Caenorhabditis elegans: one gene and its partners. The protein of the gene in region 2 purifies or fractionates together with the protein of the main gene of each other region. This does not show direct contact. Each region holds a gene or a part of one and is shown on either strand. Other genes may lie near its edges.

Region 1 (2,494 bases), on a different chromosome or scaffold from region 2:
AACTCGGCTAATATTAGCCGAATTATCCGTTAGCCGACCTTTTTACCGATTAGCCAAATTAGCCGTTAGCCGACTTTTTGGCAGTTCGGCTAATACGTAGTTATCCGTTAGCCGATTTTGGCCGATGTCAGCCGAATTCGCCGATCGGCTATTTCGGCTAATTCAACTAACATATTTTTTTGGAAAACGAAATGTGGTGAATTTGTATGATTTTTTCCTATTTGAACAGTCGTTCATCCCTGAATTTGCTCAATAACAGTGAAAAATTAACCCAAAACCTGAATTAACAGAATGAACAAAAAAAGCTTAACCAAATGAATATTTTCCGAATTAGCCGAATTAGCCGAAAATTAGCCGATTTGAATGACTGAGATTAGCCGAATTATCCGTTAGCCGAAAATTTTGAAATTAGCCGTTAGCCGAATTAGCCGTTAGCCGGTTCTCAAAAAATCGGCATTAGCCGATTTATCCGTTAGCCGAAAAAATCGGTTATCCGCACACCCCTGGAGCTGACGTCACAAATTTTCTGGAAAAATATTCCCGCATTTTTTGTAGATCAAACCGCAGTGAGACATTCTGACACCACGTGTATTGATTGTAATATTATAGTAACTAAAAAAAACAGAGGAGGTACAAATTACGGAGGGCTCAGTATTAATCTTTCTTATATCAAGTCACGGCTGGATCGATGTCGCTGATTTTTTTAAAGGTACTGTTTTGTCGTGACTTCAATTATAACAAGGTGATATCTTTGAAACGGTCATAGTATGTTAGGTGCAGTTGAGGAAGACGACTTCTTGAGGATCCTGAAGTGGTAGTTTTGGTAGTTTAAACCAGGGGTGGGCGGCAATTGCCGTTTGGCAAATCGGCGAATTGCCGGTCTGCTGACTGACCGAAAACGGCAATTTGCCGGTTTGCCGTTTTTTCTGAAATTTTAATTTTCGGCAAATTGCCGATTTGCCATTTGCCGGATATCAATTTTTTGAAAGTGTTTTGAGGGAATTTTTTATATGACGGAAACACTTAAAACTGTACCTTTTTGAAAATTTTTCCCCGTTTTTTAAAAGATATTTTCATAGAAAATTCGTACAATTTTGTCGATTAAAATTGAATTTCTGAAATTTCCAAAAATTAGGTACAAAACTATAACTTGCCAAAAATGTGTCGCAAATTGCCGATTCGCCGAGTTTGCCGGAAATTTTAAATTTAGGCAATGTGCCAGTTTGCCGGAAAAAGTATTTTGCCGCCAGCCCTGGTTCAAAATATGGTTTCTTTTGTTTTCGGTTTGAATGGTTGTTCTAGGTAATTGTATAATTCATTTTAAGCATTGTCAAAAAAGTGATACGGAATAATTATTAATCAATCAATATTATTAATAATTGCGACCAGATTCACCTCGATAAATATTCTCGCGATCCCTTACATTAGTCGGTTTATAAAATCCAACTCCCTACGTTAATGAATTTGTCATTACTCTAAAATTCTGATTCAACGACAACAGTGATATCTGGATATAATACCTAGCAACCACCAACGAAGCAATCCCAGGGGGCACAATGAGTATGCACTTCGGTTCATTTTTCAGGTTTTCAATTTTATTTTTACGATTTTTCCCAACTTTACTTTTCCAGATGCCCCCAAAAAAGACAATGGAACAGCTTGTGAAGGATGCCGAAGAGATATGCCGTATTCAAACTCTCATGTATGAAGAGAGAATGGCTCGAGAAGCTTTGAAAAACATCTCAACTAGTTCGTCAGTCCCGGCACCCAAAAAAGTTCCGTCAACATCTCAAATTCCACCGGAATCCAAATCTCAATCCAAACGTTGGGCAGCGATGATGATCGACTTTCCAAAAGCTCAGCCACCGAAAAGCCAAGAAGACACCAAATCTAAGCAATCCTCAGCTGATGGTGGACATTAAATATGTGGGTTTTTTTTTGGGTGAACGTTAGAAACTATTATATTTTGAAAAAGGGCAATTTTTAGGGTTTGGAGATAAATTTTGAGCCCTCTAGCTATAAAATTAGTCATTTTACAGGAGTTTCAAAATTGTGACTTTTTACAATAAATTGCCCAATTTTGCCACTTTTTAATATTTTTTGGTGGGTTAAACCTAGATTTTCTTCCTGAATTTTGTATATATGAATTACCTGTTTTTAACAAATTTCATCCAAAAAAACCCTAATAAAGTCTTTGAAAGTGTGTAATATTCTAGGTTTTTTTTTGGTGGTGTGCGAAAAAAGTCGCAGATGTTAAATTTTGCATTGAAATCAACGGAAGTCCAACTAATGCATACAGTTACTAATACCACTAGAGCTAGCATCAGCGCTACTGAAATCGACCGGCAACTTTGATAACTGTTGCCAGTAGTTGAATATGTATTTCAGGTCCGCATCAGGCCTTTTGATATCGGCAATTGTCAGCTTTGGTTGAACAATTTTTTTTTTGGAATTTTGATTTTGAATTCTGACGACTTTCGAATTTGGAACAACT
Region 2 (3,116 bases):
AAGTATAATTAATTCTGATGTTTTTTCTTTAGAATTTCAGTCTTAAAACTGAAGAGTTGAAGTGATAAGAATTAAAAACACCTCACTCAGAGTATTCGTTGTACAGATCAATGATAACTTTTATTATCGTGGCGTGAGAAATGGGCAGACAGAGACTGTTCTCGAAAGCATCCGAAATTCACCAAAAACTTTCATCTTTCGGGGAACCCGGAGAACGAATCAAATGAGAAGGATAGTCACGTGGATTTGAATCATACGAATAATTCAATCTTATGAATCTCCTTTTAAAACGATTCACAACACAATAAATAATATTTTGAAGAAGGAAACCCGTGAGAATACAAAAACAAAATATTGGAATTGCAAAATGCAAGGGAAGACATGATGACGTGAATCTTGATAAGAGATGGTGTTCGATGGAAATAGAAGAGTTGTGAAGAAGACGATAACGGTATGCAACTCCTGGATGCATATGCCATTCAGACCAGTTGGCTGGAAATTATTCTCATTAATTTTTTATCATGTTGTTAACTAACACAAAAATTTAGACAGTAAAGTGGACATTGTACTTTGAAACTTTCAAATTTAGTCTTCAAGTTATGGTTCTTCGAAATTTTTTAACTAAAATTAATACCATGCTTCATTGAGTCTTGAGTCTCCTTCCGTATTCCCACTTCAGTATTCGCCACGTTTGATGACGAACACCAGGCTGAAAACCGTACTTGCTCAATTCCTGAAATTAAATCATTACAAATTTGTTGATATATTTCAGCGTAATGAGACCCATACCATAATTCACCCAATCTGTCCATTCGGACCATTTTTTACTAATTGGACACTCATCTGGGCGGCAATCTTCGTAATCCTTGTCACATCCCTCGCAGGAATTACCTTTGCAGTGCCGAGTTCTGAAACTTGGGTTACTGTACATTTCCCAATTGTTTGAACCTACCGTATCCTCAGGCTACGATCACAATCGCATCGAGACCATGGATTCCAGGATGTCCAGGATCCAAAAAGATACTCCGGTACATTTGAAGAAATTGCACAAGATTGCTTCTCAACTTTCTGGCCAGAACAAGTGGTACCAATTGGTAAAGGATTATTACACGTTCGTCTTCTTTTTCGGATACCTTCTCTACATTTCGACCATTTTGACCACGTTGACCAACCTCCTGGACGGATGCAATTCCAAATCTGCATCAAAATTTTATTGAATTGGTTTTTATCTTTTTGAATGTAGAACCTTAATTTCTCCGCCTTGTTTCGAACATTCACAGAATATACCATTATTAGATGCACACTTATTAGAGACAACTTGAGAATATAAAATGCTAGAATCATTTAAATTAGCCAACGAATATGAGAAATTGACGAAAACGAAGATATTAAACAAAACCATGACAATCATTTTCTATGAAACTCAGTTCTTACTGAATAAGTGAAATTTCTACACCCATGTTTGTTTCTCTTTTCAGATTTCGACATTCCTTCTCCTTTTCCATCTTTCAGATGTCGCCAGATGGCAGGGTTACTGTAGAAAATTTCACTTTTTGCAGTGTTAGAGTCGCGCTCCATTGCTACGCGTGAGAGATAAGAGACGGCAAAGATCTTTTTTTTTTGTTTCTCGGGCGCTATCATTTTAACTTTTAAAACTAGTAAATCTCATGATTTCTCTTGAAATTTCCATTTATAAATTTTCAAATTTACAGCTAGAATGACGGAAAATAAAGTGAATATCACTGATAACCTGGAAACCTTAAAGGAAGGCGAAATTGTGACAGACGAGAAGACCGGGAAGAAATATCGTGTCAAGAAAAATATTATGCCACATTATTCAGCTGGAGGACCACATGGATTAGGTAATTTTTAAATCAGCTTGCGGTTTTTACCATTTAAATACAATATTTGTTTTCAGGTGATCCAGAAGATCGGACTTTGAGGAAAATCGAGGCAGATGTGATTATTCCGAATAGAATGAATACCCAAATCGAAAGAGTGGATTGCAACGAATCTTATTTAGGTTTGTGAATTATTGAAATCATAAAAATAAAAGCACGATTATATAGAGTTCTATTTCTACAACAATTTCAGGACTCATCACTTGCTTTCGAACCGACGGTGCTGTTTCTGGCTTGAACACGTGTAAACCAGCTCTAGAACTCTTTAATCGATGCAAATATGAAAAGTCTGGTTATTTTAATGTATCTCAAAATAACAAGAACATATTAAGATTCCACGATCCAGCCTTCCGAGCAAAAATGACTGACGAGTACATTGCGGAACGATCGGCAGCTCGAGCTACTGGAATGACATCGCAGCAACGGAAAATTGAAGAGTTTCGGGATTGGAAGAAGACAAATGAGCAAAAGTAGAATTCTTTCTTGTTTTTCATAGTTAATTGTTTCCTTGTTTGTAGAATCAAATACAATCCATTTCTTCTGGTTTTTATACTTTTTATAGTTATTATTGTCAAGTGTTCGAGTCACTATATATTATCTCATATTCTTACCATTTCTTCATTCTAAAAATATTATTTCCAAAAACTCGTTAATTCATGAATTATTCTTTCACTTTACATTTTATTTTTGCCAGAGAATATAATAGTGCAACGACGCTCCGTTGAAAATCGATACGCGCTCTGTTTAGTTGCCAGTAAACTACGAAAACGCTGGTCCGTTAAACTTTATTGATTTTACTCTTTTAACGTTGTACGCAAAATTGAAAATTTTCTGCTAAATAGTTATTTCTGTCTGTTCTATTTCAGATATGGGGTTCGTTATTTTCTTTTTTAATTCTGAATGTGATGTTCGAAGTCGATATGTTTCGCACAAAAATAACTAAAAATTAAATAGTTGCTATTTAAAAAAGTAGGCAGCACCATTTTTTCAAACTAAAGTACTAAATAAATGCTAATTTGGAATTAACTTTTCGACGTGAACTTTTTTTGTCGAATATTATTGATTTTTCCTAATCTCCTTCAGTTCTTCTTTTTCTTTACAGAGAAGAAGTTATGTCAATTCCAGTGCCAATGGAGACAGGAGCAAATTCCGAAGCTTGGAAAAAAGCGAATGAAGCATTAATGAAGGTTTGTAAATATTTCATATGAACAGTTG
Region 3 (3,320 bases), on a different chromosome or scaffold from region 2:
TTTTAGCATCTGCAAAAAATATTTATTTATCAGTTTTATTAAGAAAAAACGGGAAAAAGCTGTGAAAAACGAAAGAAAACACGCGGAAAAAAAGCAAGATAAATGGCCGCTGAAACTTGTCGGCCCCTCGGCCATGGCCTAGAAACCACTTTTCCTCGTCCCTCGTGAGGAAAAAGTTGCAGTGTTGGGGTAAAAAACTACGCTGAGCTCGATTTTCAGCTTTTTTGGGGTCTAAAAGCTGCTCTAAAAGCCTAAAAGCCTTAGTTTTAGCTAAAAATCCCAAATATTGTACCTTCAGAGCCCACAACATAATCCATATTCTCAGGATTCCGTCCACATTGCCCAAAATTATTATCACCAATCGCAAAAACGCCCAAATTGGTTCGAATCAGCGAGTGCGCTCTACCGGACGAAATCTCGAGAATTTCGTCGCCGGGAATATTGATTTTCTTTGCGGATATATAATAATCCTGATATTTGTTGATATTCGTCAATTGGCCACCGATCTGGAAGCTAAATTCGTGATTTTTGAGGGTTTTTTGGTATTTTTTACAATTATTAGGGAAAAAAAATCAATAAAAACAGCTGTTTTTTTTTTGATTTTTCGCTGAAAAATCGATTTTTTAGAGCACTTTTTCGTAAAAAAATGGCTTTTTTTTGGCGAAAAACATGAAATTTCTCAAATTTTTCAGAAAAATTGTTTAAAATAGGTAGATTTTTAAATTTTGAGAATTTTCTGTGAGAAATTAGAAAAAAAGGGTTTTGGGAAGAAATTATCGAATTTTCGTTGTTTTTTCTCGGAAAAGTCGGGATTTTTGAGGATTTTCAGTGAAAAACTGCTAAAAATCTGCTTTTTGAAGCTTTTTGGCAACGTTTTATCGATTTTTCGGAAAAATAATGAGAAACCCCCTAATTTTTGTATTTTTATTCAATTTTTCAATGAAAAATCGTATTTTTTCCAATTTTTTTGGGAAAACTCATTTAAAAACGCAATAAAACTGATTTTTTCGATTTTTTTCCAGTTTCTTGAGTTTTTTAATCGATTTTTCAGATTCTTCCGCTCATCTTGACAAATTTAAAGCCCTTTTTCAGAAAAATCCAGCGTTTTTCAGAGTTTTTGGGCCAAAATCGCCAATTTATCGATTTTTCCAGAGAATTTCCTGCGAAAATCCCACCGATTATTAATTCCAGCACCGTAGAGGCGATTTTTCGACGCAAAAAGCGAAAATCCAAAGCCTGAGCTTATAAATTTTTTTATAAAAAGTTTTTCTCAATTTTTCACCCAAAAGATTCAAAAAGCAAGAGCGCTCTATTGGACTCAATTGGCTGCGTACTTGAACGCGTGTAAAACGTTGATTACTCAGTCAACACGATTTACGGAGTGAACAGCCCGCAACGGCGAGCCGTTGTTACATTGCCAATTTATTGATTTTTCTGGAGATTTTGCCAAGTTTTATGCAAAAATTAAAAGGAACCACATATTTCCATCGTTTGTTCGTATTCCGGCTAGTTTAATCCTTAAAACACGAAGAGAGAACGGTTTTTGATTATTAATATATTGCACCCGTGTGTTCTGTTGTTTGTTCGTTTCTGACTAAAACTATCCTCTTCCACGTTTCCATCGGTGTTTTCCGTCGGCCACTTTAGAAATTACTTTAGAAATTCATTTTTATTATGAAAATAGTTCATTTGAGTATGTTTTTTTCATTTCTCCACACTGACGCCGGATTTACCTTTTGTTTTTTGGTTTTTCCTGCATTTTCAACCCATAAACCAGTTATTTATTTCAGGTATGTTGGCTCGTCAAATGATGCTGCCACGTTTGGCTCTCCGCGCAGTGCACACCACCGCCCGTCTGTCCGGAGGACAGGAATTCTACTGGGGACCCGATAAGGCCGCTGGACGCGAGCTCGTCGGATACGGAGCAAATGGAGATAACGTACGCCTTGTTTATTTTATAAATTTTAAATTTAATTAATTTATTTTTCAGATCTACCAAGATCGTCTCGACTACTGGTATCCAGCTATTCGATTCCGCAAGGAGGACAGTGTGATTGCCCCAATTCGCGCCAAGGAGCAAGCCGACTGGAAGAACTTGTCTGCTGAGGAGAAGAAGCTCTGTTAGTATTCAATTTTCCTCGACAAACTTGAAAATGTTGCTAAGTTTTCAGTGTACCGCTACAGCTTCCGTCAAACGCTGTCCGAATTCGAGGCTCCAACCGGATACTGGAAGGTGATCTCCGCCGTTATCCTCTCCGTGCTCGGACTTTGCACCTATTATGCTGTTCTTCTCAACGTCTGCGTGTACCCAGAACTGCCGCCAACCTTCCAGAACGAGTACAAGGAGGCTCAGGTTGAGCGTGCGCTTGTGCTCGAGAAGGGACAATTCCTCGGTGCACCGACACACTACGATTACGAGAACAAGAAGTGGAAGTAAAATATAGAGATTCAGCAGAAATAAAATAAAATTTTTTTGTAGCTTCTTTCTCGTTTTTATAATTCTCTCTTGGTTGTCGTCGCTCCCCCCGCCCCATCACTCTCTCGTCAAACATTCAAGCTTACCTTCTTCTTCATCGCCCCAACCCTCATCTGAAACCTAGATAAGCTGTAAATCTCTCCTAGCGGTCGAACGCACTGACCAATTCTTTCGTCTCCCCCAATTTTTTCTTCAAATTTTCCAAGTGGTTCGGCTTCTTGAGAGATGGGCTGCCCTGTAAACCAGAAATAAATAGATTGAATGTTGCTGTTAAATCCAGGAGGCAATAATTTATTTATTTCTTTACAAAAGTGAAATTTTAGTTTGACACTCGGAGATAGCGGGTAGTAGCGAGGAAAATGGTTCGGGTTGGGGAGAATCTGATTTAAATTGTGACATTTTCAGGATTTTCGTCATTAAGTGATCCGATTTTTGCGATGCGTCCGATTCGTTTCCATCGGTTTCTGGAAGTTGAGCAGTTGAAATTGTGGAAGCACTTTTCGATAGACTGGATGGCTTCCCAACTCGCTTGATCTTCCCGAACAGTGCACCCATCGCAGCCATCGATTTTCTATGAACCGACATTTGAGGGATCTGAAACTTCTAATTCTAGATTTTGAAAATCTCAAGCCACCCAAACCGTAATCTTTGCCACCGGAACAACTGAACCTTCAGCGCCAGTCAGCATATTCCTGCCAACCTGAATCTGCTCAGCGACCGACGAAATATACTCATTGGCTTCTTCCAAGGATTTCAGACGGATTGCAGTATTATTAAATAACCGAACAGTAGATGGCCTCCAAATGAATACACCTTCGAGAGTTTCCAGTCGAGCACATTGTCG

The links.
Region 1: the proteins of F01F1.2 (region 2) and F56C3.10 fractionate together in Caenorhabditis elegans (co-fractionation; one large-scale study listed by BioGRID). This does not show direct contact.
Region 3: the proteins of F01F1.2 (region 2) and cox-4 fractionate together in Caenorhabditis elegans (co-fractionation; one large-scale study listed by BioGRID). This does not show direct contact.

Annotation. Positions count from the first base shown.
Region 1 is NC_003284.9:1,380,803-1,383,296, reverse strand, and holds F56C3.10 (Ovule protein), read left to right. Parts: upstream 1-1,631; coding exon 1,632-1,922; downstream 1,923-2,494.
Region 2 is NC_003281.10:5,876,842-5,879,957, forward strand, and holds F01F1.2 (COX assembly mitochondrial protein), read left to right. Parts: upstream 1-1,712; 5' UTR 1,713-1,717; coding exon 1,718-1,862; intron 1,863-1,918; coding exon 1,919-2,023; intron 2,024-2,094; coding exon 2,095-2,188; intron 2,189-2,233; coding exon 2,234-2,375; 3' UTR 2,376-2,574; downstream 2,575-3,116. Other genes in the region: mig-21 (Abnormal cell migration protein 21), read right to left, coding at 179-492, 635-733, 790-908, 953-1,197, 1,247-1,411; hpo-10 (SAC3/GANP/THP3 conserved domain-containing protein), read left to right, coding at 2,770-2,774, 3,004-3,088.
Region 3 is NC_003279.8:13,657,599-13,660,918, reverse strand, and holds cox-4 (Cytochrome c oxidase subunit 4), read left to right. Parts: upstream 1-1,790; 5' UTR 1,791-1,807; coding exon 1,808-1,939; intron 1,940-1,990; coding exon 1,991-2,120; intron 2,121-2,171; coding exon 2,172-2,437; 3' UTR 2,438-2,748; downstream 2,749-3,320. Other genes in the region: sac-2 (SAC domain-containing protein), read right to left, coding at 2,780-3,070, 3,117-3,320.